2 linked regions of the Drosophila melanogaster genome follow. The gene in region 2 interacts genetically with the main gene of each other region. Each region holds a gene or a part of one and is shown on either strand. Other genes may lie near its edges.

Region 1 (6,182 bases), on a different chromosome or scaffold from region 2:
GTATTTGTCCAGGAACTGACGCATTTCCACCTCCTGCTTCTCGCGCTCCACCTCCAGGAAAGTTAGATTTCCTTCCAGGCGAGTGATTTCCAGCGCCTGCTGCTGCTCCTTTTGTTTCAAGGACTTGCGCTCCTGCTCCACCTTGGTGATGTCCTGGCTCAATTGCACGAGATTCGCCTTGATGGTCTGCAGCTCCCGCTCGTGGAGCACTATGGTCTTCGATTGAGCTATGTTTTGGTTTTGCAGTGTCTGAAAGGGAATGAATATAGTATATTCTGAATGCAAAACATAATATGACTCACCTCGATTTCCTTTAGCAGCCGCTTGATGTGCTTGTTCTTGGAGTCGATGTTCTGCAGCAGCTGCTCCTGCTTGTCCAGCTCGGACAGGGGATCCGATGAATCCTTGTCGCTGATTTCCGCCTGCTGCGCCGCCTCCTGCAGGCGCAGCTCCAACTGACGGATTTCCTCCCCCAACTAGTGAGAAAAAAGCGTATCCTTGAGCTTGGGTACTTTACATGATCTACTGCTCACCTCCTTGGCTTTGCTCTTCAGGCCATCGCGTTCGTCCTCCAACTTCTGGAGCATTCGCTTCAGCTTCTCATTCTCATCCTGCAGGCGGCGGTCGGAGGAGAGTCCTCCGGCTGCTGATTCCTGCAGCTGCTGTACCTGCTCGCCCTTGTACTCCAAAACGGCCAGGGTGAGTTCCAGGGTTTTCCTCAGCGACTTCTTAGGCAGCTCATCGATGGACTCGGCCAGTTCGAGGAGCGTTTCGTAGAGCTCCTGCTTCTGGCGCGCCGAAAAGTCGCGGAACTTGCGCAGGGATACGGTCTCTGGTATGTCCATGCTCATCCTGGTGGCTCATGGCCTCGCTCCTCGGCGGTTACTCACGTTCTGCGTCCAAATATTCCCCGATTTTCCACACCAGCTCTCCAGTTTTTCCGGTTGCCATGACACTTGGCCCAAAACAAACTACGACTGAAAACCCATTCGGGGGTTGCTTTTCCGGAAACGAGGGTGCCGGCGCGCTCCTTTCAAGTGACCAACCTGCAGGACCTTTGTTTTTGCTGGCGTTCTGTTTTGCTAGCTGCTTCGGCTGCGTAGAAAGTTTCCTGACAGGATAATTGCCTCAACGGCGGCTATAGCGGCAAGGATCGGCGGTGGGAGCAGCCGGTGGCCCACCACAAACAAAAATGGCAATCGGTAACCAGGAAAGTGTTAATTGGCAAAGTGTCAAAGGCCGAGTTTTGAAATTGAAAAGCCATTTCTGTTCGAAGCGACTTTTCCGCCGCCTTCTCGTGTTTCTGTTAACTTTTCTTACACTCGAAAAAAAAATGGTATTTAGTTCAGAGCACACCAAGTGGCTTTTGAAAGGGTTTAGAAGTAAGCAGTAAAGATAAGATTATTATTATTTAGAACTTTAGCTTCCGAACATATTTTTCAGTGCACTCCAACTCCTTTCTCCTTTCAAAACTCATCGAGTTGCCTTCAAAATTACGTTTGCCTACATGTGTAGCAATAATTGAAACTAATGGCAAGCGACTTTGGTTGCCCTCCCATTTGTGGATTCGCCCTCGCTGAATGACAGCTGGCCAAAAATTGAAATTGAAATGACACTCGGAATGGCCAATTATCCTGGAAGCCTTTTGGCCATTTAATAACCGCCCGAGTCGGGTTGGCTGAACTCACACATGAGCTGCTAACTGACTTTTCCTCGCAGGAATCTACCCTTTTTCAAATCTGATTATCTGACTATTTTATTATACATTCAGTTAAGTTAAACTGGACTAAAGTTCACTCATTTAGTTACGCGCACCGCAGTCCCTTGTGGCTCTTAGCATCTATTTGCAGCAGCATAAGTTCGTAGGTCACCAGGGTGGCTAGCATCTGGAGAGGATGGCTGGGATCAGTATGGGAATCGTGAAGACTCGTGAAGTTTACCCACTCCGAAGAGACTCTTTCTTGTCAAGCAGAAGAGACGATATCCAGACAATCCGACAAACTCGCTGGTCAGCTGGTCGGCAAATCTCTGCACCTCCTGCGTCCAGCCATCGCTGGGCACCAAGTACAAGGACCTCAGGGGCAGAAGCGAGGCATCGTGGATCTTGGAGGCAGTCATGAAAACCAGACTCGTCCTGGCCAGCAGGAAGATCAGCGAGTACCAGAAGTAAACGTAGTTTATGGGATGCCGCAGTTTGCTAAAAAGATTTGAAATGAGACTAGGGGGTAGCTACAAACAGATGACTCACGTGAAAATAGCCAACGCCTGGTTGCAGATCACATACACATTGTTAGCGCAGGATACGAACACTATATTCGACATGCTGGCCTCCACCAAACTGGCCAGCTCGCAAAGGCGAATGTGATCCCTCCGAATGTCGTACCACAAGGCTTCGGGAACATGCTAAATGGGATGGGGATTTAAAAGAGAAATACATTGAAATAGTTTGGATTATTTTACACGACCCTCCAGTGCGCCAACTCGAGCGGCAAACTGTTGAAACCTTTGCGCCAGTCCAATACTGGTCATCACAATAAAGATGTCCATGAAGTTCCACAGAAAGGTGAAGGCTCCATTTAGCCACTAAAAAAGAGAGCATTATTCAAACTAACTAACTAAAATATATATAGTTAACTTACAAATCCATAGCACATGGAAAATATATTGAATGGCATGATGAACATGATGTCGGAGAACTCCTTCTCCAAATAAAGTCCAAAGGTAATACGCGAGTGGTTTGTGTGGCACTGCAGGATGTGCATGCTATAGCTGCAGTAGCCAGAGGCGTAGTACAGCATGTGGTCGCCTGAAAGAAAGTTCTTCTGGAAACCATTGAAAGGATAACCCAGAAATCTCACCTACTGCCAGGACGACCACACTCAGAGCAAGGACGTTGACCTTTGACCGAAGGCTTCGCTTGCCACGTTTGTAGGGCGGAAAGAGCATCAGAATGTCCACCGAACTCCAGGGCAGCATTATGTGCGACCAGGAGCGAGCAAAGCCCACGAAGTTTAGCCAGTTGACCATGCCCACGATAAGGAAAACCAAACCCACTATTGAGCTTTCAGTTGGGATCACACTACCATACCATCTAAAACTCACCGATATTCTTGGCATTCAGACCCTCTGTGAAGAGAATATTGGCACCGACCAAGGTCTTCATGCCACCGAGCAAAAGGAAGAGACCGGTGACTGCCAGGCCAATGCTCCTTACCTTGAACTTCACATCCTGGGGATCGCGACTCCGGATATTCGACAAAGGCATAATGCCGAAGAACTGCGCCACACACAGATCTATTGTCCATTGTAATATGTTTAGACACATATGAAAGTGGTTTGGAAAAGTGGTCTTACATGGCCTGATGGCTCCGTAGAAGGTGTCCAGCTGCTCGAACTCCAATCCTCCCTGGGCACAGCGCCATCTCATGGCCAAAATGGCCCTCTGCTTCTGGCGCCGCACTTTCAGGTGCTTCCGGATGTCATCCGAAGTCCTCGACATGCTCCTCAGCTCTGACCGTCAGCAATTCCACTATCCGGGTTCTTGTCTCATGATTGTTGTTTACAAGCTGCAGCTTAGTCTAAAACCCGTAATTAGTGGCACTTGGGGCACACAATGCCATTCGGCGTCCAAAACGGCGGTCATAACTCCGCCCATGGAAATCGTTTTTCCATTTCGTGCCAGTGCAAAATGTATCTTCACCATGGAAGGACCCACGGAGCTACTATTTATAATTTACTAAAGGCATCCTTAAGCAATACATGTTTGAAGTACTGAACAACTCATCAATTTTTAAATATATTTTAAAACATCGATTAATCGAAATATTTAATGCTTACAAATGAACTCTGGCAACGCTGAATGTAAGCTAAAAGGTAAACAAATAATAGTTGTTTAACATTCTATGGATAGTGAGTTCCTGGAGCTGACGCAGCTGCTGCCCCGCTGGGTGGATCTGGAAAATGTGGTCCGTGGTGAAGTCGAGGCGCGCTACATACTCAAAAGAGCCGCGGATCACCTGGCGAACTTGAGGTCTGGCGGAGATTCCGGGGCGGAGGAAACCGGATATCTGGTAGGTGCGCTGGTGGACAGGAACTGGGAACGCATTCACACAGGGCACTTCAGCCAGGTTCCCTTGGTCACGAGGAAGATATACGCCATAGCCTGTTGCTTCAAGGTGGGATTTAGATGCTAACTAAGCCATACAAACTACAAATATACATTTTAGATTTTTTTCCTTCTCTTGGAGAGCACTAGTCCCGCCCAGAAGGATGCGTGCAGTGAGATCCTCGATGAGGCTCAACTTTTGGGTTGCATGGAGGATTGGAGTGAACTGAAAGTCGCCCTAATGGATTATCTCGACAAGGATGGAGCAGTAGCACTGAATTCCGCACCACTTCCAACTCTAGAGCCATTAACCCGAGTAACCTCCAACTGTGATATACCCCAACTGGACGCTCCCAGTCTAGAAGAGTTCCAGACAAAGTGCTTTGAGGCAGGACAACCCACACTCCTGCTCAACACCATCCAGCATTGGCCTGCACTGCACAAATGGCTGGATCTCAATTACCTTCTCCAAGTGGCCGGGAATCGCACGGTGCCCATTGAAATAGGTTCCAACTATGCCAGCGATGAATGGTCCCAGCAGCTGGTGAAGATCCGCGACTTCCTGAGCAGACAATTCGGAAAGGAACCAAGCAAGGCTGGCCAAAATATCGAGTATCTCGCTCAGCACGAGCTCTTCGCCCAGATACCAGCCCTCAAAGAGGATATATCCATTCCCGACTACTGCACCATCAGCAACGAAGATACCCCAGGAGCTGTGGACATCAAAGCCTGGCTGGGACCAGCTGGAACCGTATCTCCCATGCACTACGATCCCAAGCACAACTTGCTGTGCCAGGTATTCGGTTCGAAGAGGATCATCCTAGCTGCTCCTGCAGACACAGACAATCTGTATCCCCACGACAGTGAGTTTTTGGCCAATACAGCGCGAATAGATGCTGCTCAACTGGATCCTGAAACATATCCCTTGGTAGCCAAGGTGAAGTTCTACCAGCTGCTCCTGCAACCTGGTGACTGTTTGTACATGCCACCCAAATGGTGGCACTATGTGAGATCTGAAGCTCCTAGCTTCTCTGTAAGCTTCTGGTGGGAGTAAGCATTTTAATGCAGTTTATTGAACAGCAAATTTATGTAGGATGATCTCTGTTCAAGTTAAGATTAAAGTATGCACTGCAAAACCACGATAGATCACTAAATATGCGAATTTGATTAGCATTTCTGGGTAATTATCAAGGAAACATATTCGATGCCCTTTTCGCACACCGATAATGTAACGCCTCCGATTTCTAAGCTCCAAGTATGCAAACAGGTTGCGACGTCTGACGTCATTGCCGTGTACTATCAGACATGATGTGGACTATCCGCGCCAACAGATGAATCATCGAATCGATCACAACTGGATGGGTACTTTTTGGTTGTTCTTTTAATAGCCACGACGCTTTTTGGGTGTGTTACTGTGGCAAACAAAACTTAACACATACGAATTAAATACAAAACTTCGGACGAAACGAACATTGAGTTGAGGGACCATTATCAATATACCCCATTATCATTATCAAATGGTATATGTAGTTGTATCTATGAGGATTAACAATAAGATGTGTGTGCTTTCTATCGATTTGAAATCGTTATAATCTTTTAAATGTGCCTGCTTTCGCTGCCCCACCGCCATGCTTATAAGTCTTATCGTTATTTAAATGTTGGACTTGGCTCCAGTGAGTTTAATCATCCTTGTTTCCGCCTCCGCCGATGGTTATCTTCTTCTGCAGCTTGCTGTACTCCTCGGTGAGTCGGTCGTACTCGCGGTTGATGCTCTCCGCCTGCGACTTAACCGCCTCCTTGTCCTTCTTTTCGCGATTCAAGTCGGAGGTTAGCTCCTGGACGCGCTCGCGCAGCTTGTTGAGCTGCAAAATTCGGATTTCGTTTGAGTTTCGATTGGATTTTTGTTCGTTTTGGGTGTTTGGGAATGGATATAAGGTGGGTGCTCTAGGTGGGGATACTTAGGACACTCGGGCGGTGAGTCCTTGCACACGTCTCCGCAGTCTTGACAGCTGTTTAAAGAGTTAACAAGAGGTTTAAACTTTCGAGTGGTGGCTTCTGTTTATCGTGGCCCAACATA
Region 2 (6,076 bases):
AAATTAGTTGGTTCGCAGCCCCACCTTACTTTTTTGGCGATAAAATTGTGTGCACATTTTCGCCGCCCGATGGTACGTTTCACCGGCTGAGCGAGGGTCACACTGGCAATTCCCTCGCGGATTTTATCAACAGGTGGTTGGTTAATTGCCTTAAAGCATCGGAATGGGCGACGTGACAGGACTGAGCAATGCCCAGGCGGACGAGCTGTGCCAGAAGCCGGATTCGTCCACCAAGGTGAGTGGGTTCCAGTCGGGCAGACCGCGCCATCGCGCAACGCAACTAACCCGCTGTCGGCGGCGCAGGACTTCCTCTTCCAGCAAACCATGTACCGCATCAAGGATCCACGCAAGTCGCTGCCTTTCTACACGGGCGTCCTCGGGATGACCTTGCTGGTGAAACTGGACTTCCCCGAGGCCAAGTTCTCGCTGTACTTTCTGGGGTAAGGTCGATTGCTCCGGCTTATCTTAATTTGATATTGATACAATGACAATCGCTTTTGTATCTGGCCCAGGTACGAGAACGCCACCGATGTGCCTAAGGATCCCAAGCAGCGACGCAGCTGGGCGCTGAGCCGCAAGGCCACCATTGAGTTGACCCAGTAAGTGGTTTTCCGTTTGTGCATGCGATTCGCAAGGTTCCATTTGAGTAGGCCCTTCTAATGTCATGACTCTAGGAAAAGGTTATTTGAATAGTCCATAGTGGCGGTACAATACCAATCTTAATATGGATGTAGATATCATCTACAAGGAACACTTCCAACAGAAACTCCTCCGCAATCAGATGGAATTTCATTCAAAGGCATTTTAGAATTGTCATGCGTGTAAAAAAGATAGTTCCATATGGATATTCTATTTTTACATTTCGTAACTCGTTTTTGTAGATATGATAGCTTCAACTACAGCATGCGGCAGCATAATTTCCTTTTTTTTTCAGAACTCAATGAAAATCTATTGTAGGCATCGGAAAATATTTATTTGTTTTTATAATTTAGGTACATGTCTAAAGATTTTATTTATATTTTTTTGAAGATGAAATATGACAGGTGACGTTTCCCATTCTCCATACATTGCGTAAACCGATTTCTGGCGTTTGGGGAAAAGGGGACAGATCGGGAGAGCGTGCCGTCCATTCCAAATCACCTTTAATTGGGATGAGGCGCTCTGAAAGTGTTCCCTCAAAACAGCCATCGATGCTGTATGCGATGGTGTATGCCGTTGCACCTTCTTGTTGAAACCAAGTGTTTACTGTGACCTTTGGTGAAAGCAAAGGCCTTTCATGCAAATATAGAGGGTTGCTGTCAGCCCAGTAGCGCATATTTTTTTTGTTTGTAAACCGACCGACATAAATGAAAATGGGCTTCTGAAAGTTCCTGCACTACGCCATCTTATATGGATGAAATTGAAGATCATCATGCAAAATTCTGCTCACAGAACGATCGGATAGTCAGTCCAAGGGCAGATGCGTGTTTGCGCGCAGAACGCCGCGGAGATCACAATATTGACCCTGTCACTGCTTCAATGTTCTCAGGTGATCTAACTGGGTCGGGGGACTCCAGTTCTTCGTTTTGTCGCACTTGCAGTTTGCCTGAATGTAGTGACCCATGTAAAAATCGATTTGCGGTCTGGGACGGGAGCCAACGGGGCTAAATTAAAGCGATTCCGAAATGCACGCTGCGTTTAAAGACCCGAACATCCGCTTGAAAAGTAGGCCTCATCGGCAAAGGCACGCTCCTCACTATTTCAACGCATGTTGGCGACTGAACCGTGTAGGGACAAAACTTTGCAGTAGCCCCTCTTGAACGTGGCCAGTAGCGTTTCGCTATGATATGAACTAACTGAATGGCGCGCATTTTAAAAAAGGAAATTATACTGCCGCACGCTGTATTTTTACATTTCTTAAATCGTTTCCTTAGACATTATAGATCCACCTATAACTCGAGAACTATGTACTTGTATATATATTAATTTGGCCTTTAGTTTTTAATCAAAACTTACACCTAAACTAGAGGTCCTCGATTATATAAAGGAAATACGTATAATTCTACTAATCTTCTGCTCTTTTCCGTAGCAACTGGGGCACTGAGAGGGATCCGGATCAGAATTACCACACCGGCAACACCGATCCACGTGGTTTCGGACACATTGGAATCATGGTGCCCGACGTGTACGCCGCCTGCCAGCGGTAAGTAATGTCAATGGGAAAGTCCTGTTCTTTTTCAAAGACGCAATCTTTCCCGCAGCTTCCAGGAGCTTGGCGTGGACTTCGTGAAGAAGCCCGACGACGGCCGCATGAAGGGACTGGCCTTCATCAAGGACCCCGACGGCTACTGGATCGAGATCTTCAATGCACACTCCGTCTAGTCTGGCTGGCAGATAGAATTAACTTGATTAATTGCGCATCTGCCACTGTTCCTTAATAGCGATCCCCACTAGGCTGGACCGCCGAGTGGAGTCGCAACAATAAATGAGAAATTGTGTAACAATTGGGCTGTGGACCTCATTCACTCGGGTGCACCTGTCGCAGCTGCCGCAGCTGTCAACGTCGGCCCCAAAATAATTGGCTCCTGCTCCTGTGTCCTTTTTCCGGCTTGGTATTTTCACACGCTAATTATTATTTACATCGCGGACAGCCGAGCTTTTTGATAAGCAAATGTGTTACTCACTCGCACATGGGGTGTTTGCCCAGACGGTCTGCGAGGGCCATGTGGTCATGGTGTGGGGCGTGGATGGTGGTGGCCACTAATAATAGTCAAATATGGGAGCGCAGTATTTGTTTGGTGTCGAATATGGCGTTTTGCAATTTAAGGTCCTGTATTTGGCGACTCGAGAACAGTTCTCGTCCAGAGGTCGTACTGCGAGTGTCCCGCGTTCTGAATTACTATGGAGATATCCCAGCCCAGCATCGGCATCTTCTACATCAGCAAAGTGCTGGCCCTGGCTCCATATGCTACGGTCCGGAACTCCAAGGGCCGGGTGGAAATTGGTCGCAGCTGGCTCTTCACTGTATACTCGGCCACATTAACGGTGGTTATGGGTGAGTTGAGCATCCAAAGGCGGGTGACTTCCTTCTGACTAAACGCTATCCGCATCTGCGTAGTTTTTCTCACTTATCGGGGTCTCCTGTTCGATGCTAACTCCGAAATTCCCGTGCGGTAGGTACTTTTGTATCTACATCTATGTTTCCTACTTGTAAGGTCCCAGTTCTGTGCCGTTTTTTTTTTACTAATCTCTACGGGCTTGTCCCATTCAAGGATTTTAAAGTAGTGACACTCGGAGTGGAGTCCTGCACTTTTAGAACCCATATCTTATCAAATATGTATAAGTAATACTTTCCTCTCAAGAAGGATATGATTTTGTTGCGGAGGGTGTCATTACTTTGATCCTAATTGTGTGTATACTTTTCTCGATTTTTCTCTATCTAATCATCACCTCTGCTCCCTTCTAAACACATTCGATCTTGACCAATTAATTGCTCTGACAAACTGCAAACAAAACCAACCAACAAATCAAAAGTGCATCTTTTAGAATGAAGTCGGCTACGTCGAAGGTGGTGACGGCCCTGGACGTGTCTGTGGTGGTCATGGCCATTGTATCCGGTGTTTACTGTGGCCTTTTCAGCCTGAACGACACTCTCGAGCTCAACGATCGACTAAACAAGGTGAGATCACGTCAATCATAGATCCACCCTCCTTTTATTTGTTATAATCACCCAATAAACACCCCAGATCGATAATACCCTAAATGCCTACAATAACTTTCGAAGAGATCGATGGCGAGCCTTGGGCATGGCTGCCGTCTCTCTGCTGGCCATTTCGATTCTGGTCGGCCTGGATGTAGGGACGTGGATGCGCATTGCCCAGGATATGAACATAGCTCAGTCGGATACGGGTAGCTAGCGCTTTAATGTATTCATTTATAAGCCGCCAAATAAATCTTAAAATGAAAGAAATCTATCTTTGAATCCCCACCTTTTCATTTTCTCTTCGACAGAGCTCAATGTGCACTGGTACATTCCATTCTATAGTCTTTACTTCATCCTCACGGGCTTGCAGGTTAACATTGCCAACACGGCCTATGGACTAGGAAGGCGCTTTGGCCGTCTGAACCGAATGCTTTCGAGCAGCTTTCTTGCAGGTAAGTGGTAATTTAAATTTCCAGGATTTTTGATTAGTTGTAAACCACCCAACAGAGAACAATGCAACCAGTGCCATCAAGCCACAAAAGGTCAGCACCGTGAAGAACGTTAGCGTAAATCGGCCAGCGATGCCATCGGCACTCCACGCGAGCCTGACGAAGCTGAACGGCGAAACCTTGCCCAGTGAAGCCGCAGGTGACAAGGCAGCCGCACGCAGTCTAATCCTCAACGTGGAGTTACTCAAATTGGGTTATTTTCCAGCCAAGAACAAGGGGTTGCTCCTCAAATCCCTGGCGGACAGTCACGAGTCGCTGGGAAAATGTGTCCACCTCCTGTCCAAGTAAAGTTATTCCACATCCCATGTTTTCGTGCTTCTTACCTTCCCGCACTTGACAGCTCCTTCGGCATTGCGGTTCTCTTCATCCTGGTGTCCTGTCTGCTGCACCTCGTGGCTACGGCCTACTTCCTCTTTCTGGAACTGCTCAGCAAGCGGGATAACGGCTACCTGTGGGTGCAGATGCTCTGGATTTGCTTTCACTTCCTGCGACTGCTCATGGTGGTGGAGCCGTGCCACTTGGCTGCCCGAGAGTCCCGTAAAACGATCCAGATTGTTTGCGAAATCGAGCGGAAAGTGCACGAGCCCATTCTCGCGGAGGCAGTTAAGAAGTTTTGGCAGCAGTTACTCGTCGTAGATGCTGACTTCTCCGCCTGCGGATTGTGCCGCGTGAACCGCACCATTCTGACATCGGTAAGGATTTAGACTACACTTAAATAATATCCATGTATTATTCTAATGCTATCTGGTTGCAGTTTGCATCCGCCATAGCCACCTATCTCGTGATTCTCATTCAGTTTCAACGGACCAATGGCTAAAGTTATACAAAAAGTGGCTTGTTTTTTATTAACACTATTAACTAAACGGAGTTCTTGGATATTATTGATCTGTTAAAGTGTCTATGTGCTTGAATCAAGTTAGCAAACAATAAAAAGCAAACGGGTTATTTTTCTTAGAACTTGCTAAAATTCACACACTCTTATCCATGATCCATTCTCCATCATATTACAACTAGCCATACTCTGGGGGGACTTAGAAACCCTTCTGGTACTGCTTGGTCTCCAACCGCTGTTGCAACAACTCCAGCTGTCGTTTCGCCTCGCACTGGGGGAAGTTGTTCAAGTCATAATATTGGGGCGCCAGGCAGCACAACCATTCAGCTATAAATGTAAGAAATGCTTACAAAAATGACCCTGAAATGCGGAAGTTGCTACTCACGTTTGACATCTGTCACCGTGCGAATGTAGTTCTTTGTAGTCAGCACGAACTCATTGTAGATGACCCAATCGGGCTTGTGGTCGAGACAAGTCGACGGATGCAGCTGCACGTTCTGGTTGTCCTTGATGGTCAGATAGTAGCCAGTGCGCTCCAGGTGGGCCACCTGCATGAAGAAGCCCTGCACGAGGGCCTTTCGGATGTTTACATAGTAGTCCTTCGAGGTGAATTCAGTGCTCGTGCGCCGCAAGTTGAAGCGGTCCATGATTCTAGCCAGCTGCTGGCGCACGTTATCCGCACTCTTTAGCGAGCGGAAGTTTATGAAGTTCTCGTAGCACCAGTTTGGATCCTCACTGCCTGAAAGAAATAAAGAAATATGTCTTTATGTTTCCATTTCGAGTATAGGTTGGTTTAGTTTACTTACTCTGCTTAAAGGCGTGATAGACATTAAGCAACGTCAGGTGGTCTCCGTCAATGTGGGCGAATCGCATCTTGGCCTCATCGGCAGCTTTCTTCGCCTCGTTGGGGCGAACGAAGCATTGTGGAACTTTGGCACGTTTGAATTGGTTTAGTTTCGATTAAGCGCAAGTTCAAAACAATTTTTAACATAAACAAATAGATTGTGCTTTCATTTTGTCAGCTAGGCAATCTAGAGGCTTGATTCAAAGATT

Evidence for each region. Genes that interact genetically often act in the same process or in processes that back each other up.
Region 1: of Gr43a (region 2) and Gr61a, changing one enhances a phenotype caused by changing the other (phenotypic enhancement), as found in Drosophila melanogaster (one study listed by BioGRID).

What each region holds. Positions count from the first base shown.
Region 1 is NT_037436.4:839,035-845,216, reverse strand, and holds Gr61a (gustatory receptor 61a), read right to left. Parts: upstream 3,767-6,182; 5' UTR 3,500-3,766; coding exon 3,355-3,499; intron 3,295-3,354; coding exon 3,103-3,294; intron 3,054-3,102; coding exon 2,859-3,053; intron 2,807-2,858; coding exon 2,640-2,806; intron 2,584-2,639; coding exon 2,461-2,583; intron 2,404-2,460; coding exon 2,249-2,403; intron 2,198-2,248; coding exon 1,945-2,197; intron 1,887-1,944; coding exon 1,806-1,886; 3' UTR 1,516-1,805; downstream 1-1,515. Other genes in the region: Cep290 (centrosomal protein 290kDa), read right to left, coding at 1-249, 303-476, 534-851; JMJD5 (jumonji domain containing 5), read left to right, coding at 3,903-4,175, 4,227-5,159; CG13887 (uncharacterized protein), read right to left, coding at 5,785-5,967. UniProt on the Drosophila melanogaster protein: One of the few identified sugar gustatory receptors identified so far with glucose being its primary ligand and which mediates acceptance behavior.
Region 2 is NT_033778.4:7,389,954-7,396,029, reverse strand, and holds Gr43a (gustatory receptor 43a), read left to right. Parts: upstream 1-2,868; 5' UTR 2,869-2,880; coding exon 2,881-3,034; intron 3,035-3,097; coding exon 3,098-3,152; intron 3,153-3,513; coding exon 3,514-3,658; intron 3,659-3,725; coding exon 3,726-3,888; intron 3,889-3,990; coding exon 3,991-4,134; intron 4,135-4,189; coding exon 4,190-4,475; intron 4,476-4,531; coding exon 4,532-4,883; intron 4,884-4,945; coding exon 4,946-5,008; 3' UTR 5,009-5,161; downstream 5,162-6,076. Other genes in the region: Glo1 (glyoxalase 1), read left to right, coding at 164-235, 304-440, 513-599, 2,069-2,182, 2,241-2,361; Dhx15 (DEAH-box helicase 15), read right to left, coding at 5,223-5,350, 5,409-5,762, 5,830-5,952. UniProt on the Drosophila melanogaster protein: Gustatory receptor which mediates acceptance or avoidance behavior, depending on its substrates. Gr43a is the main sugar receptor in larvae. Functions as a narrowly tuned fructose receptor in taste neurons but also as a fructose receptor in the brain.